Drosophila melanogaster: one gene and its partners. The gene in region 3 interacts genetically with the main gene of each other region. Each region holds a gene or a part of one and is shown on either strand. Other genes may lie near its edges. The genes, in order: shn, rho, dpp and mxc.

Evidence for each region.
Region 1: of dpp (region 3) and shn, changing one suppresses a phenotype caused by changing the other (phenotypic suppression), as found in Drosophila melanogaster (2 studies listed by BioGRID).
Region 2: of dpp (region 3) and rho, changing one suppresses a phenotype caused by changing the other (phenotypic suppression), as found in Drosophila melanogaster (2 studies listed by BioGRID).
Region 4: of dpp (region 3) and mxc, changing one enhances a phenotype caused by changing the other (phenotypic enhancement), as found in Drosophila melanogaster (one study listed by BioGRID).

Annotation. Positions count from the first base shown.
Region 1 is NT_033778.4:11,172,288-11,176,835, forward strand, and holds the start of shn (schnurri), read left to right. Parts: upstream 1-1,515; 5' UTR 1,516-2,487; coding exon 2,488-2,518; intron 2,519-4,548.
Region 2 is NT_037436.4:1,461,943-1,469,465, reverse strand, and holds rho (rhomboid), read right to left. Parts: upstream 5,656-7,523; 5' UTR 5,336-5,655; intron 4,001-5,335; 5' UTR 3,980-4,000; coding exon 3,644-3,979; intron 2,977-3,643; coding exon 2,559-2,976; intron 2,427-2,558; coding exon 2,113-2,426; 3' UTR 522-2,112; downstream 1-521.
Region 3 is NT_033779.5:2,426,523-2,431,386, reverse strand, and holds the start of dpp (decapentaplegic), read right to left. Parts: upstream 3,016-4,864; 5' UTR 2,337-3,015; intron 1-2,336. UniProt on the Drosophila melanogaster protein: Required during oogenesis for eggshell patterning and dorsal/ventral patterning of the embryo.
Region 4 is NC_004354.4:9,237,448-9,245,003, forward strand, and holds the start of mxc (multi sex combs), read right to left. Parts: upstream 6,021-7,556; 5' UTR 5,758-6,020; coding exon 5,712-5,757; intron 5,654-5,711; coding exon 5,486-5,653; intron 5,423-5,485; coding exon 5,248-5,422; intron 5,179-5,247; coding exon 4,878-5,178; intron 4,774-4,877; coding exon 807-4,773; intron 745-806; coding exon 42-744; intron 1-41. Other genes in the region: Larp7 (La related protein 7), read left to right, coding at 6,429-6,699, 6,760-7,556.

The DNA of each region.
Region 1 (4,548 bases), on a different chromosome or scaffold from region 3:
TTTCGAACTGCTTTCGCACTGGAACTGGAAGGCCTTCTAGCCGGGCGAACATACACACGCACACGAACAATTTCCAATTGGGCGCCTGCGCCAATTGTAAACAAAGAACAGCTGTTCGAACATAGTACATATATTCGTTTTCATTGACGATGGAGCATAGTATAACACAGGGGGGGGGGGGTGCAGGGGGGTTAACTCTGAACATAAGGATGAGTGATGTGATTAGGGTGGTCACGCGTGCGGCTCTAATAAATATCAATGATTTGTGAAAATTCTTAAAAGAAACAAACCACATTTATTGAAAGTCGTTTAGGCCAAACATCGTATATCTTCCCATATGAATTTAAATTGAAGGGCGGCCGTTGGCGTTTTGGGGCTGGCAAATGAGGCTCAAGGCCACGCCTTTTACTTGTCACTTTGGCTGGGAATTCTCACAGCTGTCAGCCAAAATCCCATCCACTTGACATCGCCATCGCCAATGTTCTGCGATATGTTCTTCTTTTCTTCACATATGTACATATTTTCGCCAGCACTTAATTTCCTTTGAAGCCGCATTATTTCAGCCTTTCGACACCAGGCGTTACGAGGCGTTGCGGCTCGAACAGCTTTCGACTGGGCCCAAAGTGTCTGCCTTAAATGAATCGGAAACATTAATGGCTGTATCAAAGAATAGGACGCCTTCATTTAAACGTCTTCATTTAATTCATCGAATTTGCTATTTTTATGCATATGAATATTAAATTAAGTCGAAACATTACTATCATTGGAATGGATACGATTCTATGTGCAGTAATTAAAATGTGTTTCAACAGAGTACATATCTTAGAATCAAACTTCATCTATAATTTAGAATAATTTTTAAACCATGAATTAAATGTTTATCTTCGTTATTTTCGCTGCGAGTTGCAGCAGCTAGTTTATAAGGTTTGTGTGTTCGTCCCACCAAGTTTATGATTATTAAAATATATTATAATGACATGTTTATATTTTTAGCAACTCCTTATAATTAATTTATCAAATCGCCTAAATCAATGCTTTTCCACTGAAGCACCATGTTGTTTTTTGATATTGCATACATTTAGGCTTAGAAAAGTATTACCTTTTTATCAATTGTGTGGATAATCTTAAAAATGTAAATTAGCAAACTGATAAAACAGACAACCCAGGTATTATCACAGCGCAGGTAAGCCAAGTAAATAACGCTTATCATCTGGAGCTCCTGCTATTGGCATTTAAGCTTTGGACACACACACACACACACAATACTGATAAGGCGACTCTCTTAGCGAACTCTCTTCGCTGCTCTGTGAGTGGGAAAAGAAAAAAGGTAAACAGACAAGTTGAAAGGCGATTTTCGATTGAAACGAAACGGCTGGTCGAATTGAAAGCCACTTACGTCGCTCTTTGGCTCTCTCATTTGTGCGCCAAAAGAGAGCTCACTTTGGGTGTGCTCTTGGCGTTCGGGCTTTTGGCTTTGGCTTTGGCTTTTGGGGGCCTAACGGATTCTCGCTGGCTCTGTTTGTCCGTGAACGCCGACGTCGACGCACGCCTCTCGTTTTCGCGCGCTTCTCGCACTTCTCGGTAAATGCGCAAAAAAGCCAGCAACGAAATCAAATCAAGTCAAATCGCAACGCATGGTGAATAACATGTCCGTTTTATTAATAGATTCCGCAACAGCCATATAGCGCATATTTCGAAAGAGATATATAATATATATGAAATAAAGTGAGGCCCTCGGATGAAACAGTGTTGATAAGGAGTGTACATACATACACACACGCAGCACATAAAACTGAAAGAATTCGCGGCGCGCGCGATTTAGTTGCGAATATTGCGTATACGCAGGGTCTGTCAAAAGTAATACAAATCAAACAAAACCTACCACAACAAAAATAAGGAACGGCATATCAAACCGAACATTTCCGAATTGAGGTTTTTTTTACACAGCGAGCAGAGGATACGCCTACATGGATTTATATAGCACAATTACAGCAACCAAGGATACTGAGACTTGGGCAGGATAGCAGCGATGCCAGCCAGCGGGTTGCAATCTCCACCAGGTCGACAGGCAAGCGGCATATCAGGATAATACCAGGGACTTGGACATCATGGCTCCTCTATTTGTCTAGTTGGCAAATACCAGCGAACCGGGAACCAGGCCACACACACACACACCCATACACTCGCTTACACACACAAACACACACACACGCGCGCGCTCATACGCTCAGACAAACAAGGACGCTTGTCATTGTGTGCGTCAAGGACGTCGACACACGTACAAGCTTTGTTGCTGTTGTGCCATACAAACAGACCAGAACCAGTGTCGCAAGTGGGCGTGCCAGCGGGTAGGCGGCCTCTGATTAAATATACATCAGTCAAGCGCAAGGATCCTAATTTCCAGCAGTATTGTTCTGTGCAAAAGGACAACGGGACAGCGGACAGCGGACAGCGCCAAAACGGGACACCAACTTTGAAGCAGGGAAAATGGCGCGACGCAAGGGCAGCGGTCGAGGCAGTAAGTACATTTTCCTGTTAATTATTCAAATCAAGCGTGAGTTCGAAAATATGCCAGCGAAATTCCGGGAAATTGCCTCTTCTCAAGGATTTTAAGCTATTTTGCAAACGTTTCCATAAAGTGTTTACAAGGAAAAGGGACCCAATATCCACAATTTCTATGCTGACTTTTCTTTGGAATCTTTATATTTAGTGGTTCTATTATAAGATCGAACTTTGACTGCTTTGTTCTTGATAACAAATTCACTCCAAGTAGTTTGTTGATTATTAAAAGAACTCCAGCGGTCTTAAAAAAATTGGGCTTCAGCTCAAGGACGACGAGTTTCACAGCTGCCATATGGCAAGACAGTAAGTCCTTGCTTCAGAGCTTCAAAGAATCTCGTCAAGTGCAGTGATTTTTTCTTGGCGGCTCAAAGGGAAAAATATGTAATTAAGAATGTATGTAGTATTCAGCCACGCCCCCACTCGAAACCTCTGGCTGTATCTATAAGATATATATTTTTTTGCATTATTATTTGTGTGCCATGAGTGCTCCACTCGCAAGAGAGAGAGAGAGAGAGAGGGACGGGGCGAGAGCAAAGAGAGGGAGGGCATGCATAAAACATGAAACAACAGCGTCAGTAGTCACTTTTCATTGCATTGCGCCCACGCCCAACCACCCACAGTCCCCTTATCATTTTAATTCAGTTGCGTTGGCGCGCGCGCTGCAAAATGTTGGGGATTCCCTTACGTAATCCCCCAGCGCACACAAAAGGCAAACAAACAAACAGGCACACAAACAAACGCACACTCACAGGGCAGCGGCAAACAAAACAAAAACACAAACGAAATGGGCAAAAGAAAGGGGGAAAAACAGAGAGCTGAAATAAAGGAAAACAGAAAGCGGGTGAAAAGCAGAGAAGCTGAAAAACAGAAGAAAAAAAAAACGTAAAAACAGACGCAAACAAGGCAGCTTGTTTGCCAGCCAGTCGCAATCGGAATTGCCCCATGTAAAATGGTCTGAAAATCAAGCTCAGCCAGCGTCATGAACTTTTGGCGCAGCTCACCCGCTCAACAGGCAGCCTAGCTCACAGATACGCAGATACAAAGATACAGATACAAAAGGCGCACAGTCACAGATACTCGACTTGCACATCCACAATCGCTATAGCCGAGATACTTTGCGTCACGTCACGCCGCCTGTTAGTCAAGTTGCTCTGTGCGCTGCGTTACTCATGCCACAATTTGAACCTATTAAAAAGCCAGATACTTTCTTGTGCCCGCCCCAACCCGCGACATCCGCAGATACTTTTGCCAAATGAGATACAAGTGTGCTGCCTGGCTTTTGATATATGCCAAGTACTGCTCGCTGGGCGGATACAGTGCGCATTCCATCAGCTGCAGCTAAATGCTTTAAATGAATTTACTTTTCATTTCAAAACCAAACCGACTAGGCAACCAGTAATTGAATATATTCAATCCGATCAATCACTTTTTTTTTATTGAACTTGATTTAATTAATATGTCACAACGTGAGCGTTTTATTTCGCCTTTTGAAACAATAAACCAGTAATTAAATATAACATTCTTAAATAAATATATTAAAACTATTTTATAGCATTTTAAACCAATTATGCTGAAATGTTATAAATATTTATATTCGAAATATTATTGTTTTAATAACAATAATAACAACTTAACTTTTTAAACAATGTTGTTGAGACTTTAACTCAACCATTTTGTTTTGTAAACCATGACCAATTGAAAATACTTGGCAACTTGGAGAGAGATTATTTGAAATACTTCTTAAATATATTTCAAAATCATCAAACCTTTAACATGAAAGTCGTCCTTCCATGGAGTACCCACTGTAGCAGGCGCAACATGCTCAAAGAGTTTGGCTCCAACTTGACTTCCAGCTGCCGATGGGTTTTGGTTTTGGTATGCAGACGACTTTGGGTATGGGTTTGAGTATGGTTGGGGGAATGGGAATAGGAATGGGTATGGGTTTGGGTTTTGAGTTTGAGTTTGATCTTTGAGGTTGGGTAGCTG
Region 2 (7,523 bases), on a different chromosome or scaffold from region 3:
TTCTATTAAGTGCTTATTGCTAATAGGTATGCATTAGTCGACTAAACGCAAACAGCTGGCAAATGTTTTTGGTTCGCTTCAAGTCCTTCGAGTTGAATGCCGATTTGGAAATTCATGGACTTAGTCCTGCTAATCCAGTTGGATTGAATATAATACTCGCATGAGATGTGGAATCACAGACAATATGAATTATTACAAAATGCGTATGCTGCGCCTTCATATTTCATATTGGGGCAACTATCGATTGGTGGCAGTGGCAACATTCGAGTGGGAAAATTCGTTGACACAAGTCTTCTGCGGAGTGGGTATTAATTAAGGATTTTCTTCGAGTCTTAGTTGTAGTTGCAACCTTTCGCTTTGAATTGCCATATTTATGTGGAGCAAATATTGATTGGGCTGCCCCCCAAAAAACTCATCCAGCAGAGGATACATACATACACAAGCTCAACTCGCCCTGAGTTATTTGTGAAGAAAACGAGAAATTCATATATAATTTAGACATTTATTTTTGTTCAATTTTTCTCTCCTTATTTATTTATCTATAATTTTTTGCTATTTGCATTTCTTCTGTCCCTTGTCTCGTGCTGAACATTTCCGTTTCCTAGTTTGTTTTATTTTATTTTTTTGTTTTGTTTTTTTTTTTTCATCGGGTGGAGTGTGGATCCATTATTTTGGAAAATCGAGTATGCTATCTTGGGGTTTTGTGGCCCAAAAGGATTCTATTTTGGCTTACGCTTTGCTGGCCTTTATGCCAGATTAGCTGTTTTCATTCGGCGATTACTTTGAATATTTCTCTATTTGCGTACGATATATATATATATATATGTATATATATATGTGTATCGGTCAATATGTCAAGTATCTTGATAATCTGCTGGCTCGATTATTTATTGCCCTTAAATTGTGGGAATTAAAACCAAGCGAGCCGACAGCCAAAAACTGAAAGTAAAATAAAAATACAAAATGGGAAATGAAAACGCTTTTGCTTGTATTTTGTTATTACTGTTGTATTCTTGAAATGTTTTGATTTTTTATTTTCTTTGGCTTTTCGTGTGTATTTTTCAATTGGATATTTTTACAGTTGAATTGGTTTGTTTCTTCTCTCTCTTGTGTTGTTGTTGTTTTTTCGTGCTTGTTTGTGTGAATTTCACTAAATTATTAAATAAATAAATAAATAAATAGTTCGCTCAATTGACGAATTAATAAACCCTCGCTGCCCTACCATAAATAAATATAATTAGTAATACTTTCGAGTGTGTGTGTGTGTGTGTGTGTGTAGGGGATTACGATGCTCGATTTTGTAACGCATTAAGTGACTTTAGTATAATTTAATTTAATTTAACTCGATTTGCTTAATTGATCTGAATTGAATGGTTCTTTGCTGTGGTTTTCCATATTTTTTTTGTTGTTTTTGCTGTTGCTGTTGTTGTTGTTTGACTAGTGTGCGACTTAATAGTATTTACAATTTGAAACAATTTGTTAGGAGGGCTAGTTATACCTAAATATATATAAATTATAACACTAAATCCTACAATTCGGAGCACATTATGCTTATGGATGTATAAACAATTTGATACAGTTTGCTGATGCTTCGATTCGATTCATTCGTAGTAATTGCGGCCAATAAATACATAATTTAAGAAAACAGACAAACCATTAATTGAAAACATGGATAAATCATTTAAATCATAGCGAGAGGCGATTAGTTCTGTTTCTCCTCTTTGATTTTCCTCTTGATTTTTACTTGGTTTTTACACGCGAAATAAATTCAGTCTTTGGTTCTATCACAACATTTGTTTACACGTTTCGGCTTCGGTTTATGTTCTCCTCACTCCTCGCACTTTCTTTTTGTCCAGTGTATTTCTCTTGATTTGTTTTTTTTTTTTTTGAGTTTGTGTACTATGTTTCGGAACTGAAACGTTTAACTGCAAACGGTAACGATAACGAGATAATGCTAACGAAAAGCAAAAGCCAAACGAATATCGAATTAGTTTTGAACTAAATCGTTGAGTGAACTTTTCTTTTCCACCAACTCTCTGTCTCTCGATCTCTCCTGAAGCTCAAGCAGATTCCGAATCCCTGCGAGCATGCTGACGACTCCGAACCTCAAACTTAGGACACTCCCAGGTCGTGCAACAGATGCTGGGTAATCACCTCACCCTGCTCCTCCATCAGCTGAGCGGTCACCGTGTTGATCAGGTTGAAAACGATGGCGAAGACGGTGAAGGCACAGTAGACGCCCAACGCTAGCCACCAGATGAGCTGCTCGTACTCTCGGTGACCGAAGTTCTTTAGCACCAGAAAGCCGATCGTTAGTCCTGCCAGGGCTCCCGTCAGGTGGGCAATGTACGACACCTGGGGACCCTTGGCGAAGGCGCTTCCATCGAAGTATTGGGTGTAGAGAGCATAGCCCAGATCGCAGGAGACTGCAAATGGAAGAACAGAAGGGATTCAAGTTAGTTAAGTTAAACATAGAAGAAAAAGATGTGACAAATTCGTGTTTAGGTAGGATAGATTAGGTTCTATAGATTCTAGTCATAAGGTGTGGGGAAACTCACCAAAGATGACAACGGATCCGAGTTGCGTGGATGCGCTCTTCATGTGCGCATAGTTCAGTGTAATGTTGGCCAGATGTGCGGCCAACAGGGCATAGACGCCACCGCTGGCGCCCACCAGGAAGACCTCCGAGTCGACGACACTGGTGCCCAGGGATCCGGCAAAAACGCCCGCCATGTAGATCACGCCGATCCTGGCCGTGCCGTGCATCACCTCCAGGGGAATGCCAAAAAACAGCTGGATGACGATATTGAAGCCCAGGTGGAACCAGTTGGCGTGCAGGAACATGTAGCTAAAGAAGCGCCACACCTGCAGACGCCGGTCCGGCCGATAGACCAGCACCGAATCCGACGGAATCGGAACGGGTAGCCCGAAATTCTGGGCGGGCATTGTGTAGCGGTCGTAGGCGAAGATGGCAATCTAAAATGGACAGAGACGCAAAGAATTGGGGGTTAGTTCTGGGCTCTCGCTCTGATTTATGTTGTTGCTGTCTGGCACGCGACCACGTTCCAAATAAAGTCTTATGAGAATGCTTAGGGGCGAGTCCTGCCAACTTGGCAGGGCTTCAAACTCACTAAACTCATACGCCCCGTGGGCCGCCCTGTTTATTTGATATTCGTGCTAGTTTCTATACGAAGCAAATTATTTCCAATACGAATGTAAGGGGTCATGTAAAAGTGTATTGTTTATTTTAAACTCAATGTTCCAAGTTACCAATTTCGCTATCAAACTAACTATCATTTCCATCTTCTCATCTTCCACTGTTTTTCACATGACAATTTTTGGTCTGCCCTTAAAAAATAAAAAAAAGAAAAAACTACGAACGGTCTGGTTTCATAAACTTTTCTGTTCGCTTTTTTTCCTTCGGCTGTTTTGTTGTTCAACTTGTTTACAATCGATTTTCGGGGGCGCCAGCGAGTCAGACGCAGAAAACGAAACACGAAAAGCGAGGAAAACTCTCGGAAAACTTCCGCCCTTCGTCGCCGCTTTCCGCCCCCTATATCATTTTTATCGCTCTTGGGATGAAAGTTTGCGGCTTCTTTGATTTAATGGGTTGAGTTACTGAGTTCGCTGTGTGTGTGCTTACCTCAATGATGGAGATCACTAGGATGAACCAGGGCCAGTGCTGGCGGTGGACGTACTTCAGCAGGCCGATATCCTCCGACTCCGGAAGTGGCGTGGCCGGGATGGCCTCGCGTTGCATGTAGATGTGCTCGCCTTGGCGGGTGCAGCAGGTGCTGCTCGCCGTGCTGCAATCGGTGTCGTACGACGAGGAGTTGGAGGAACTGGAGCACGCGGCGGGAATGTCAATGATGGTCTCCTTGGCGGCGGTGGCATGCTCCTCCTCCTGCGACGCCTCCTTCTCCTTCTCCTGGCCCAAATCCACCTTGGTTTCGTTTACATTCTGCGTTAAGTTCTCCATGCTGGCGCCGTTGAAGAAATTCTGGAGAAAGAGAGGAGCGCATAAAGTGTGTAATTAATTAACTTGAACCGAACAATAAACAAAAATCAATTAAGTGCATAAGTTATTCATAAAACGCAGCACAAAACAAGAGCAATTACAACACTTCAGAAAAACCAGAGTGTGTGGGGAAATGCAGCAGAAATAAAAGAAAAGCGAAGGAAAAGCCTGCTTCTTTGTGGGTAAGAATTTTGTTTATGGCCTGGGACACGGATTCCGATGCCTGCAACTTCCTGGCTGCTTTTCCCCGAAGGGAAAACTGGGTCAGCTTGTGTGAGCTAACCATAAAATTTGATGGGCCAAGTTTGCTTTTGTGGCCCGAAATTAGCTGGACAAAATTGAAGATGTAGCTTGTGTAGCATCTACGCCGTTACATAAACTGCACTTTCAGCCCTGAAATCATCTTCGCTAATGGCCAACTAATCAGCTAATGGCCAGGCATTATTGTAATTCATTGCCCAGAGACATTTCCTCACAAATTATGTTAATCGCATTCGATTCAATTACAGTCACAGCACAAATCTTCTTAAATTCCCCAAACAACTGTTCGTCGCAACAAGGAAAAAAAATAACAAATTCATTGCCTTGCTCAACAAAAAAAAAAAAAATAAACTTAAAAAAACGCGTTTCTCCCACTCACACTCATTGTGTTCGCATATGCCCCCTCTCTCTCTTTCGCCTCAAGTCGCATTGCACACACGCACCGTTGTTGCTTTTGTGTCTGCTACCTACACTGCTCGAAAAAGTGAGTGGGTGCCGTGCCTTGGCTGGCGCTCTTTTCATGTTCTTCATTTCGGTTGCCTAGCAATTTCAATAAGGCACGAAATCGCAGTCGGCCGCTTATTAATTAATTTATTTATTAACTTTAATTGCAGACTGCACCGAATGTCCATGCGAGCATGAAGAAGAGATGTCGAAAGCGGGCTTTAAGACATAATGAATTAATTCATTCGGCCTTCTTTTCATCATTTCTTTCTTCTCATTTTTTTTTTTTGTCTGTTTGGTCAGAAACATAGTTTCACATGGCCCGCGGTGTAATTTGCATTTTTTATGCTTTCTGCTGCACTCGCACCCCTAAAAAAAAAAACGGGCAAAGGGTGCGAGCGAGAGAGATAGAGCGAGCGGGCACACAGGTTGAACAAACTCATTACGCCTCTAAGTTGAAATGCTTTTGTTTTGCCGCTGTGACAATTTCTATTGCAATTTGCACATTTCTTGCATATCCCTTGTGGCTTGTAGCTTGTATCTCGCAACTCATATTTTGTATCTTGTATCTTTTAGCTCTCGCGCATTTTCTCATTAGGGTCGGGGGCTTACCTTAGGTTTTTCTGCCTGTCGCAATGTTTATAATCCAAAATGCGTGGGTTTCTTGTAATCCAAATGTCTTTAGTTAGCTGGCATATTCGCACGTTTTTCACTCGCTTTTTTCGGCTCGCACATTGGTAACTTAGTTTTGCTGCTCGTAAATCCAGGAGCTTGTATTCAGATATTCTTGAGATATATATTCTCTGCTTGCACCCACACACACGACAATTTGAATATTTCTTTCTTTCAGTTTCAATTTCAGTTTCGAGTCGCAGTCCGACTTTCTCAGTTTGATGATCTCGCGCTCGCGGCTCGCACGCAACTGACTTTCGAAAGGCAAGGCAGCCGGCCTTTATAAGTGCTCGCTGTGCGGTGCAGTATAAGAGAGCCACTTCGAACATGTTGTGTTTTGGTTCGGCCGTATAAGTGTTGCATGGCACATCCGGATCTTGTCTTGTGTGGGTGGGTGGGGTGTGCGCACTGCAGTCACTCGACTGCTGCAGCTCGAGGCGAGCGGTTCGAAGGTTTTTCGTCGCTGGTTATTCACTGGTTTCCCCCATCTGCCGCCTTGCCACATAACGGTGAATGACTCATCCAGACGGGCCAGCACTTCTTGCCAATGCCACTGACTAACAAATGCGTCGTCTTCTGTCTTCTGTCTTCTCGCCGATCTCCAGCGATCTGCGCTTTGTCATGGCCTACTACGCAGATCTGAGCTCTAATCTCTGCAATGTTGCGAAATTCTAGCAAGGCCTTTGCGTTTAATTGCCTTTCAGCAAAACCGACTTTTATCTCATTTTATATTATTACTAGTAATATATATTAACGTACTAGAAGAGGTTTAAGCTCATTTTAGTTGTATTTGTAAAGGTACCAAGTCCATTGTTTTGCTGAGTTTCCCGTCGATGCCTTTAAACAAAGACAAGAAAGTCAAACAAATTGTTAACACAATTAAAGATGATGAAATCGGTAGTAGCAGTCGCTTTTTCTTTAGCTCCGCACTTTCGAATAGTTTCCAGAAATAACTTCAATGTCACAATTGCTCACAATGGTAATGTAAATTAGTTTCTAAACTAAAAAAACTAGCAAAACTATTTGCTTGCTTAGAAATAGTTTTAAAATTCCTCTATTGATACGTAACCGTTCAATAGCTAAAACATTGCTTCTATAATTCTGTTGTTTTTAAGGGAACGTGCCACTGCAAGTGGCCAAAAATGCAAATAAAGTATATCGGCTCAGCAATGCAGAACATGTCATGGAATCGAATTCGAAACCGAGCCCCGTCCTGATTCCCCTTGATTCCCCGATTCCCCGTAGAAGATCATCATTGTCAGGGGTTTCGAATTTCACACCTTTTCCAGCGAGAGCTCCCTCGGAGGCGTTGAGCGAGCAGATAGAAATCGGTAGCAAAAATAAATATTTATACAAATTATTAGGCAGCCTGAGCCGTTGCAGTCACGAGTTCGCGGGAAAGGTCACCACGGCATGTTGCACAAAAGGAGTAGCTTTCGGCTTCCTGGCCGAAAGGATCGAGACGACGTGGTTACGTGTTTTGCATGATAAGCTGGGAATTTACACAGATCTAATAGATAGATATACCCATCCTGGCCAGTCATCCTCATCGGCGGCATGAAAACTCCCGCATGAAAAGTGAAAATATTTTCACTGGGCGCAAAAGAGAGGCGAAACAGATTCAGAGTCCTCGTCCTCGTCCACTGAGATTTATGATGACTTTTTAACATGTGCGTGCAACAGGTAAGCAGATACGAAAACACAGTTGCTGCACTACATGCCCATGACCAGGCACGTCATCAGCTCGGAGTTTCTCAGCTCATCTTCATCGTAAATCCTTTTTTCCCACGTTCCCTCAGGTCGAGTTCCTCCATCCTCCATTGCTGCGTTTTCATTGTGCCAGACACGCATTGCCAGCACTCCACGGACATGGACCCACTGGCACTGGCAAGGTCAGCCACCGTACCAAAGCAATCTCAGCCACCCAAAACACTCGAGCTCGAATTCAGGTAACCGAGTGGGCGTGGGTAGGACGTGGGCTTTTCCCACGCAGGACAGGACGTTGATTCCTGGCCCGTCGCCCGGGAATTTCCCCCAAAACATGTGCTCAACATATGCGAGTGCCTCATGGCATCGCGAATCAGGAAATTCCGCCCGCCACTTGCGCTTCCCGCCGCACAGCAAGGTG
Region 3 (4,864 bases):
TGACCTTATACAATATATTTTCGAGAGAGAATTTATAAAATAAAAAGCAAAATTGATCAGTTCTCGATTTGACAGACAGAAGACAGAAGATCGTTGCCAAATCGTGTCGTTTCGTTTGGCCACCTTGAAGCTAAGTTCATTCATCTTCGTTTAGCATAGAAGTTTAGCAGGTGATTGAGCTGGGCTCGCTCGACTTTTAAATAAAAATGTAAACTAATATTATTAGATAGTTGACATAGTCAGAATATTGATACATATTGGAATTGTTAGCTAGCGTTTCTTGCTATGATTATGATATAATAACACATAATTATAATTTAAGTTTGCACCTATCAAATCACACTTCTTGTGCAATCCAATTGGTTTTCCAGTCAAGGTGTATCCCATAAACCATAAACCCATCGAGCAGCAGCCAGCGATATCGGATATCGTTCTCGGCTGCCTTGAGGCGCCACATCAGGCGGAAATCTGGCATCGGAATGGCCCAAACGGTAGACTGAGGTGCAAAGTCCGGGCCAAAAGCACCTGAAGCATTAGTTGCAGTTGCAGTTGCCACCTGCTGCAGCCTCTTGTTCGAACACCCTCCCCCCCCCCACAATCTTTCGTGGGGCAATTCAAGTACAAGCGAATACCAATGGAAATATTTTTGTGGCTGTGTGTTGTTTGCATGGAAACGTGATAGCAAAAGTTGTTGCTGACCGGGCCAAGTTGTTGTTGCCGCTGTTGCTGGCCGCATCTGCTTGTGGAATTTATTTATCGTTAAGAAATGCGTGTAAAATAAGTGAAACTATTGGGAGTCTCAAGCCTCCAGAGACTGACCAGTTTCTTTCGGCGGCCAACGGGGGGGATGCGGTTGCTAATGCCACCACTTTTGATAAAAATGTTGGCCTAAGCCAGTTGTTGCTGCCTGCTGATGACCAGTAGCCACTTAACTTGGCCGAGAGCGGGGCGAAGCGGGCATGGGCAGCAAATTATTGCCGCATTGCTCAGTTGTTGTTATCAGCAACGTGATTTGCCAGGCCAAGATGAAGATTGAGATGGAGATGGTGATGGGATGGCATGGAAGTGGAAGCCAACTTCAACTTGGCTGCTTCATTGCGTGCTCACGATTTTTATTTCATTTTCGTCGAATTTCCGAAAGTGGTAGACCTTCATGGTCTCATCGTCAGCTGTTGCTATATCTGTGTAGCTATATCTCATTATATTGCTGCTCTGTCTTGCTGATGTGTTGCTTCTATGTAGCTGATGCTGCTGCTGCTGCTGCGGTTGCTTAGTTTTGTTATCGGGCTTTATTTCTGTACCTTTGCACATTTCGAAGCTATCAATTTCCCACCTAACCAACGGGCTTGCTGCGCCCTGCGAATGCAAATGCAAATCGCAGTTAATAAACTAATTGAGCCTAGTGGGGTGAACTTTGACACTGATTTAGTGCCCCCAGTCGCATTAGCAAGGCAAATCGAATAAATCGATATAGATACCGATTAAGATTTAGATTCAGATTTCGATGCTGATTCCGATCCCATGTGGGATGGCTTATGCAATCGTGATCGATCAAACCAAACCAAAGCAAAGCTAAGCGAAGCAAGCCCTGCCCAGCCACGCCCAGCCAGTCACATATAATTATTCAATTAGCCAAATGGCGTCATAAATTAACGAGTATATGGCATATGGTCAAAGGGTTTTTTACCATGGCCAATGTCAGTGTCAGCCGCTAATTGTGACTGGTGTGGAATGCCGTTAATTCAGTTCATCACTTGGCCCCCATGAATATGCAAGTGACACCCGATCTCCACATGTCTCTGCTGATAATGTCCGGGGTCCAGAGATAGAATTTCACTTTTTCCCCGGATACTGGCGTAAATCTGTCGAAACTTTATGCAGTGATATCAAGTTGGCGGAAGGGACTTATCTATTGGCAAACTTATTAAAGCAAACTAGATTTCCTCATAGTAATATAGATTTTTTAGGTGTCTTCATAAATGTAAATGCATAAAAGTGAAATGGTTGCAAAGTTTATCATTAGAAATCTAAACAGTGCTAAAGTCTCTGAAGAAAATGAACATAATATACTGCAATTGCTATTGTTTCAGAAATAATCCACTGACTTCTGAGTTACATGTATTTATTTCTTTCACATTTATATACATAAGTAATCAGCCAGTCTATATGCATTGTATTCATATGTATATGTGTATGTGACTCACGCATTGCACCCAGTTCCAGTTTTCCCAGTCAGCTGTTTAACAGCCGTTCAATTGATTCGATTGATCTCGAATTGGACACGCAGCCACCATGGCGTATGCGCATTATTTGCTAACACTCTCGGCTTGGCTTACCTGGTGCACCTGCTGCACGCCGCTCAGTTACGCTCCAAAATCCACAAATCCTTTGGCTGCAACTGCAACAACAACCAATTCTGGCAGTTCGCGAACGTCGCATACATTATACACTGGTTCGACTCGGATATCCACTCAAATACTTTCGACCTATCTATCTCGCTGTGGCTTCGATTCGATTCGATTCGACTTCGACTTCGATTTTGGCTTATGGAAATCACTGGCACTTCACATGTTTGCTGCTGACGATGGTGGCCAAGCTCAGACTTTGGCTATTTTCGATTTGGATTTGGCACACAGACACATCACTCACTCACACTGGCACACTCGCAAGAATGGCGATGGTTACGAATATATTATCTGATACCGAATCGGTATCAAAAATCGGAGAGGCTTTGGCTGGCTGACGAGCGATCGCGGAAACGAGAACGAGAAACGACGGGAGATATTTTCTGTTTTTTCTGTGGTTCTTCAGGCGCGACTATCAGCGTTTAACTCGGATTTACTTTATTTTATGGCCGCAGAAACCGCGAACGATTACAGAGCAGAAAAAAAGTGATTAGAGGCTGTATATTCGGTTGTAACCAGCGATCTTTCGCCTCGATTTGGCGACACTCTGTGGACGAACGAACGCGTTTTTCGGTTCCGTACAACGAGCGTTGAGCGCAAAAAACTGAATGAGCGTCCAAAGCGGCCGAGGCAAGGCAAACAGGCAGGCAGGCAAAAGCGATCCGGAGACGGAGCAGCAAAAGCAAAAGCAGAAGCAGAGCCGAGCAGCAGCAACAGCAACATCAAAGCAAAGCACAGCACAGCAGCAACAGCAACACAAGCAGCAACAGCAACACAAGCTAGTTAGTTAGTTTTGAGCTCGTAGTAGTGAGAGTCAATCGCACACACACTGCCGACCACGATGGCAAGTTGCTTAAGTCGCTCAAAGCGCCATTTAAGTTGAGTAATTAAAACAGGCAGTATGTGTGTGTGTGTGTGTGTGTGCGAGTGCGATTAATTATTAATCAAGCCAAAAAAACAACAAGCAACCGCTAAGGCAACAATAACAAACAAGCCAGACTCACAATTACAATATTTCAGCTCTCTCAGTCGCCGTCTTCAGTCCACAGTCTCCGGTCCACAGTCTACAGTCAACACAGAGTCTTCGGTCCTCAGTCTTTAGTGTTCAGTCTTCTGTCTTCTGTCTCAGCTGCGATATCTTGACTTTCTTCAAGTCTCTCTTCGAGCCAAAGCCACAGAGCTGTTACACATTTGACTTTTCGGCGCTGCCGCAACTGGTTCGGTTTATTTTTGGCTCTAAATCTCGGACTAAGTCGCGGACTTCTCGAGACTGCAGCGCTGCTAATGCAAATCTAAATTGATTGCAAAATGCTTAGAGTCCCGAGCAGACAATCTTTCGAGTCGATCGGCGTTGCCGGATTGTTCGGCTTGTTCGAGTTATAGGAGCTAGATCGTTTTGAGATATGCCAAAGTGAGAGTTTAATGAAATCGAAGCACAAAAGTCAGGCTCTGCAGATAACACACACATGAGCTCCGTTTGACTCATCGATCTATTTAATATTTTTAAAAATTTTGTTTGTCCTTCAAAATGTTTTATTTGTTATTTAGGCCTTGATACTATGATTCCCCAAGCCTTACTCACCATATCAATCATACGCCTCGTGTGCCCATCTGGCAACGCTAGCTGCCCAAAATCCATGCAGCAAACTCAATTGATGCCGCTGATCTGGTTGTTGTTCTTGCCGCTGATGTAATTAAAATATTGCACTTGTTACTTTTACCAGCGGCTGTTCTGTCTCTTTCCCACAGCCTTTCTTCCCGTATATTGTGCTTGCCTCAGGAACACAAGTGCAACAAAACAAGCAGCCAAGGAGCAGAAAAAGCACAACAAGCACGCTGACAACATCGACTTCATCGTTCGCCGTGTGTCGTGTATTAAAACTTGTTCATTGGAATTTTCTAATAAATCAATAAACGCAGACAACACAGCGCAGTGCGGCGGGGGGCTCCAAGGGGGGATCCAACGGGGGCTCCACAGAGGGGACTTCGGGGGGCCAGCGGCATCTTGGCACACAGCTGGCGGCATCGGCGGACCGACGGACAGATTGCCGCACGCATCTCGCAGATTGCGCATTTTATAAATAGCTGCCTCATTTTTTTTCTATTTTTTAAGGTTATGGAAAATTTTAGTTGTTGTTATTATGATTTCTTGCTATTTTCCTTTCCAACTCGATCAGCCAATCGCGATTGTAGGCTATGGCCAAGCGGCAGCATTGACAACACTTTCACACAGTCGATGCACCCAGAGAAATATAGATATTCAAATCAATTACAATTCCATTATGTAATGAAAATGTTGTAAAGTAAGGAATAACATCCTTACAACATAACGAAAGATTATGGGAAACAAGTACGCACTTTGTAAAAATGCCTGCCTATTACCTGATTAGCTAAATTGCACTTCATTTCTCTGCGTGTAAAATAGTCGCTTAGCCGTCAGTATTTCCGTAAATAAAGCG
Region 4 (7,556 bases), on a different chromosome or scaffold from region 3:
ATAAGCATACAAAAAATAAAATGCATATGTTCACCACTTACATGGTGGCCACCTCCAGATCTTCCTCATCTTGCGGCCCACTCCTGGATGGGGGCTTCTCCACCAGCGGCGTAGACGTGGCCGAAGGCTGTTCGCCAGCAGCAGCAACTTCCGCTCCCGTTCCACTTCCTCCACTTACACTTGCACTTCCCCCTGTTGCCGCTGTCCCGCCACTATTGCCGGTCAGGCGGCGTATCCGCTTCTTGGGTATATTGCGAATGGCGCTGGCCACCGGTTGGCCCAGACAGAGCACCTGGGCACTGGCTATGCGCAGCGTATGCAGCTGTTCGTCATCGGTCATCAAGCGCATCTGATAGCTTTTGAAATAGCTCGATGGCTGACGTATCATCGGATTGCTGGACTTTGGTCCGTTGTCCGCATATGTGAAATTATAGGTAAAACGCTCCTGGCTGCTGCTCAGGCACATGTCCTGCTCGAAGTCGCTGTCATCGGGCTCCGAATCGCATTTCGATGGCGGTGGATCCTGTTTAGGTTCTTGTATTGTTTGCTGAATTTGCGGCTTTTGCTTTGGAGATTTTTGGGTGGATTCCGCCTCCGCTACAATGGGCAGTGCCGGAGCATCGGTTGTGGAGGAGGGTACCCTTGCCTCGACACGTTTCTTGGCCGGTTTCTTGGTATTTGCCTTGATTTGGGTCTTCGTCTTTGCTCCTTCAGTGGATTTGGAGAGATCTTCCGGAGCAGGAGCTAGTTTTGCAAAGACAATATATTAGTTTCAATACCCATTCGATTGGATCTTAACTACTTACTTTTATTTTCGACTAGGCGCGAGGATCGTCGCATACAGAGATTGGCTGGCTCCCCGTTCTGTACCTTTTTCGGGCGTCCACGTTTTCCAGGGGCAGGCTGTGCCGCAATTTCAACCGCTGCTCGATTTACCTTTGGTTTGATTACAATCGGTAATGATTCCTGTTTTTTCGCAGATAGATTGAGGGCCATGAGCAGAGCGGGATCCAATTTGCCGGCTGGCGGATCTGCTGGCGCATCTGTGGCGGCACCGACTGGCGGACCAGTAGCCTCTGTGGACTTAACATTCGGATTTGGTTCTATTTGCTTTTTAGCTGCTTTTGTTTTCAGTGGTTCGATGTGCTTTCGATTTTTTGGCGATTTTTGACTGCTTGGATTGGCCAGTTTGGCATTTTCACGCATTGCAGTGAGCTTCTTGTTGGCAGTCTTTCTCCCTTGACCTTTGATCGGTTGGGGTTGCTCCTTAAACTTGGCCACTACACGTTGGCGTTTTTCATTCAGCTGCTGGCGTTGGTGTTCCTGACGGCTTGTAGAGGCCGTTGGAAGAGCGACGGATGAAGGATCGTCCGCCTCTGGCGGAGGCGGTGGAGGCGGCGGAGGAGCAGCTGGCGGTGTTAGAGGAAGCGGCGGAGGCGGAACAGGAGCAGCCACCGGTTTAGGAGGTGTAGGTTTTGTTTGCTGTTCTCCACTGGTATCCGTCTCCTGGGCCTGCTCTTTGCTTGGTGTCAGCCAATTCCGGATAGGATAGCGGACCTCCCCGTCCTGGCTAACTAACTGACCTGGCTGACTGTCGATAGCAAGCATGGGCAGAACTGCATCCTCAGAACCGGCTGCCTTCAGCCACTCTTCGTCTTCCGTGCTGCTAATGTTCGATAAGTTATCTATGTTTAGTAGCATCTCCTTTTTCTTGCTGCACTTTTCGTCGGCATTCTCGCCATTTGCCTCTTCCCCTCTGCTTTCCCCCTTTCCGCTGTGAGAACTTGACGAGGATGAGGAACTCGATGATGAACTACTGGAGGAGCTTGAGCTCGAACTGGATGAGGACGATGAACTGGTTGCCGAGGAGCTAGAATTACTAGATCCTTCAATAATTGCCTCGGGCAGGCCAGGCAAAAGTTTATAGTGCGGAAGCTGCTGCTGATCGGAGGGAAATGAGCCAGCTGTAGCGGACTCCGCACTGTCCACCGCCTCACTGCCAAAGGATCGAACGCGTCGAAGGACGGTGGGCTCCAAGGACAGGACAACGGGTTGCTTCACAGCATCTGGTGTCTTTTCTAAAACCGTTTCATTCTTTTCACCATCGTTTTCAGTTTCCTTCAGATGTTCATCCATTGGCTTCTCTGGTCTTTTCGGTGTTTTCTTATTGTCCTCAGCATGTTTGTCCTCCGGATGAAGGCTTTTCTTTGAACACTCCATTTCTATTAGCTCTTGATTCTTCTGTTGCGAAAGCTCATCCTCTGCCTCAACCTTTTTCTTCTTGGGCGTTGACCGAACCTTGGGTTGTTTCTTATCCTGCGGATCACCCCACTGTTGTATTGCGCACTGCGCATTCGCATCGGTGTGTTCCGCTTCATCCGGACGATAATAGGAACTGCCTGAAGAGTACTCAGTCTTGGCAGCACTGCCTATCGGAGTACCGGGCATCTGTCCAAAAGGTGTCAAGCGAAATCCAGGTGTGATGGCACTCAACTGGGGCGTATCCATAATACTTTTGGTATCCGAACCAAAGAGAAAGCTGCTACTGGGCAACTTGCCATATGGCGTGTCCAGAGGTGGAATGGCCATTCCTGGCGTGGGTGGGATGATAGCGGCTACACCAACACCAGCTTCCTTTGATGTGGTGTCATCTTCTACGGCTCCGCTTGCTCCTGCTCCAATGGGAGATGCTTTAAACGGAGTGTCCAGAAGCATGGCCATGTTGGGTCGCGACAGTTCTGCCGCTAAGGCCTTCGCTTGCTCCTGATCCTTTGCATATATGCATCCTTGTTCACTTTTCTTCTTCTGATCCTTTTCCTCGATCTCCGCTTGGGTTTCGTCTATGGTTTCTTCTATGGTTTCGTCTATGATTTCTTCTTTTGCCTCAAACACCTTCTTTTTCTTCAGGAGCTTTGGTTTCTGAGGAGTGATAATCTTGATGTTGATCTTCTCAGTGGAATCCCCAACACTGCGCTGCGGTTTCTTTGCCAGATTCATGGGCTCCGCCTTCGCTTTGACCATTGGAGCCTTTCGTGCTCTCGACGAAGCTGAAGTGGGTGTATCTTTCTTCTTTGGACGCCTCGAGCGGCCGGAGGCCTTTACCTCCTCGCGCTTGGAGTTAATCTCACGCAGCCGATTTTCAAGGTCAGAATTGGAGCCATGCAACTGGCGCTGCCAGGCGGCCATATCGTTATCTACAACTGCGTCTCCTCTGGCGGCGGAGCCTACATCTGGCTTTCCTTCAATCTTCTGCTGCTCCTGGAGATTCTCTTTGCTGGCCTCGGCGCTGTCATCGTGAGCGGTCGACGATGCGCTGCAGGCAGAGTTATTTTTGGGCATAATTTTCTTTTGATCCTTATCCGTCTTGGTTTCCGATTCCGCCTGGGAGATGATTCGCTTGCAGGCCTTGACCGCTGCTTGTCGCTTCTGTTTTCTTTTGGGCGTGGCCACCAACGGAGGAACCGGAGCTGCTGACGGAGCGGCAGCTGGAGGATGGGCCCTGATCACCGTCTGATTGCTGCACTCCTCCATGGCGAAGAGTGGTGGCACTCCTCCAAGGCCCTCGTTTGAGCTCAGGTCGCAGGCGGCCTGGATGATCTCCACATGGTTGATAATTGGCTTCTCTTGGGCTTTGGCCAGCAAACCAGGTCGCCTAGTGGACAGCGGCGTATTGGAATGCAGGACGCCACCAGGAGGAACCTTAGGGGAAAAAGTTAATGTTCGTACATGCGAAGTTCTCTTTCGGGGAGTGGATAAGCTACGAAAGGCCTTTACGTTAATTATTCCCGACGTCGAGGGTGTCACTCTCTCCATGACTTGTCTAGATGAATCCAGGGATGCGGGTGGAAACTTTCGCTGCTCCTCCTCTAGTTGATCTATCGGTTGCTCTTTTGCCGCCGTTCCCTGGCCCGCCTTGTTGTCCACTTTGGCTGCATCTTTTATCAACTGGACTGGAGGCTCCACGCTTGGGGGAGGTGGTTGTTTCTGGGCGCTGCTAATGATAATGGAATTGGGGGGCAGCTGATTGGCAGACAGAGTAATCGGCTCCGGCAGCGATATCTCAATGTGCGAGTCATCAATGTTGGCAAAGGCATCCGGCCCAAGTTGCTGGGCTACCCACTCGTTGTTCACCAGGAATGGAAGATGCGACAGCAGTCCACCGTTCGAGAGGTACATGGGAAACGTCAGCTGCCCGGTGGTGGCGTCCACACAAACCTGACCAGCAGCTGTCGCCTCCACCTCGCTGAGCATTGACGCTGGATCGGCAAAATTTATATTGAGGCCTTCGCTTGTAAAGCTGATATTGGACGTATCCAAACCAGCAACCATTTTTTGGACACTCTCGTTGGAGTTCAGTACGATAAGCTTGGAGATGGAGAAATTGGGATCTGCATTGGTTCCTGCGGTGGCTGCAACGGCGGTGCGAATAATAAGCGGTGTTTGCGGCGGCACGGGATCCACGGCCTGTTCTGTCGGCAGCACATCTCCATCAGCAGCGGGAACAATAGCAGCCCCAGCAGCATCAGAGGCAGGCGACACACCAGGGTCCTCCTCATTTGCCAATGGTTCATCCCCGATCACCACCTCCTGTATGATGCGATCGAACGAGGGATCCTTCTCGGTGGCCTCCAGTATGTTCTTCACTAGACCATCCAACATGGCGTCACAGCTTACCGACGGATTGTTAACAGTCACCGTCTGCAGCGCTACGTTAATATTCTTTACCAGCGTCTCCTGGAAGTCCTGATTCTTAATTATCGCGCAGGCCAGTTCCTGAAATCAATGTAAATCGAAAGAGTGTTTTTTGTTTAGAATACATAATAGATGCACTATTGGTTAATTAAGCAGATATGCATTAAGCATGTCTATGGACTTACAGGCATGCTTTGCGGCGTGAGCAGAAGTGGATTGGACTCGGTATGACCTTGGCGCGGCGTGGAATTGTTGCGCGGACCAGGACCATTCGCCGGAAGTAAGTCATCCTCCTCCAAGTCCTCGGTGGCCGTTGTGCTCTCGCCATCCTCTTCGTCCAGTTCCGCCTCGCAGTCATCCTGGCTGCCTAGGAAACTCTGCCTGACCTTGTCGCGGTTAACGCTGCAGTAGAAGTGTGGCGGCAGCAGACGCGGTCGCTTGCTAAACGAAGGCGAAGAAATGCTGTTCACGGGAGAATGGGTGCGCCTGGGGAAAAGGGGTAAGAGAGCAATGAGAATTCCGATGTGCTTGTGTCAAGGAAAAATCTATAATTACAAGCGCCTTCTCTTGCGATGCGACTGTGATATGGTGGGCTCGCCTGGGGTGCTGCTTTCATTGGTACAGCTACTCCTCTCGCCGGCGGCTATCAGTTCGCTGACCCGTTCGGACAGCTTCATCTGCTGCAGCTGCATACGCATATCCAGCGGCAGCTTCTGCACGGCACCGGCCACTGAAAAGAGAGATTTTCGGTCAGCCGCAAAAAAAAAGAAACGCAAGGAGCGTGCTAATTTACCCAAGCTTGTGATCTTGACATGCTCGCAGATTATCTCCTCCAGACCCCCGTGAAGGAAGTTGTGCGTCTGCAGGCCCTGTTTAAGGGCCAGGAACTCGTGGCGCAGGTGAGGCGATGTGCGACACAGAGTGTGTGCGGCCCTTTTTAGATTCTGGTTGACTAGGTAGCCTACAAAATGGAAGAGCATAAATATTGCGAGCTAGAAAAGCGTCCAGGGAAAACCTACCCAGGACCAAGCGAGCCACGTCCGAATGCAGGACAATCGACTCCATGGCTGGACTTTCCGACTCAGCTAAGCGTCACCATCCACTCGCTTTTCGCCTTGCCTTTCTTTTTTTTTTCGCTTGCAAGACTTTAGGTTTATCGAACGCACTTGTAATGCCTTATTATTGACTGTTGCAGGTTTAATCACTCAATAGTTAGTCGGAATTGAATCAGCGCTTTAATTCGAGAGAGAATAAACCATTTTCTCGCCTATTCGCCGACTATTTTCGTTTTGTTGTTGCCGATTCTAGCGGCGCACTGTACAACACACATAGGTTAGCATAGCATCTGTGTTTTTTTTGCCGCCCGCCAAAACAACGCAGTAGGGTTGCCACAGCGCCGAACTATCGATATAGTCCCGTTGTTTGCGCTTGGCTGCCAAGCCTTATTAGGAGCGTGGGAAATAATGGTAATAATTAAAGCAAAGAAATACGTCTCTTTCGCTTAAAACAAATTATAGCAGTTTTTATTGCTTTGATGGTCTTGCTTCAATTCGTTTTTATGTGTACGTTACAGTACTTAGAATCCGATATTCGTTAAACTATCGATATGGGAATGCTGCAAATACCTGGCATCCCAGCAATTCATAACTAGACGGCGTTGCCAAATAGATCAGAACGCAAAAACCAAGTGCAATATTTTATTCGAGTGACTTAGATTACTGGTTAACTGGCACTCAATGGCTGCCAAGAGTATCGAGAAGGAGAAGGGCGAGGGTCAGGAGCCCGCGACATCAGCGGAGAAACCCGATCCAGCCGCACCCACTGAACCAGCTGAGGAAAATTCCAAAGAACCGGCGCCGGAAGACGCATCGCCGGATAAAAAGGATGGTGGACGCAAAAGGAAGAGGCATTTGTTCAATTCGATTCGCGGTCAAATGGAATTCTACTTCGGTGACGCCAACTTGAGCAAGGATCGCTTCCTTCGGCGCTACGTAGAGCAGGATCCATGTGAGTAGCTAAGGTTGGCTCACCAGCCAACATAACACTGATCATGTTATTCTTTTACAGATGTACCATTGGAAATCTTTCTCACTTTCAATAAGATAAAGACGCTCACCCAGGATGTGCAGCAGATAGCCAAGGCACTAAGCAACTCCCAGCTTCTGGAGCTGGATGAGACCGAACTAAAGGTCAAGCGACGTACCAAGCTACCAGATCAGCGCGATGTCAACGACAAAACCTTGTATGTAGAGGCCCTGCCTGCAAATGCCACTCACGATTGGCTGAAGGAGGTATTCAGCCGCTACGGACCGGTGGCCTACGTGTCCCTGCCCCACTATCCGGGCACTAAGAAGATCAAGGAATTTGCCTTTATCGAGTTCGAAAAGAGCGGGTCCTTGGAGAAAGCTGTGAAGGCTTTTGCCCAGATACAGGGCGTTTTGTCCGTAGAAACCGATCCCAGTGATCTGGCCAGTGTGCGCTCCTTTCAGCAGCAGCAGCAGATACAACAGAAAGCGGAGCAGCCGCAGTCAGAGGCTGAACAGGTTGAGTTGCCAAAGCGAAATCTAAAAAGGGAGGCCACCGACAAGGATCGCGAGGAGATACACGAGGTGAAACGGGTTAAGTTGGAGGAGGGCCAGCCTAGCGAGACCTCTACAGCTGGGGAAACAGCGAGTGAAACGGATGCAGAGGGCACAGCCGAAGCCTCCGAGCAGGAGGACAAAACAGAGGCAACCGATGGCGATGAAGCTGCCAAAAAGCGCCGTCGCAAGCGCAAGAAGAAGGCGATCGTGGACAAGCCAAACATTGAGCCCAGTGCCCTGGAGCTCAAGGTGCTACCCAAGACTAGTTGGAGCAGTATGCGC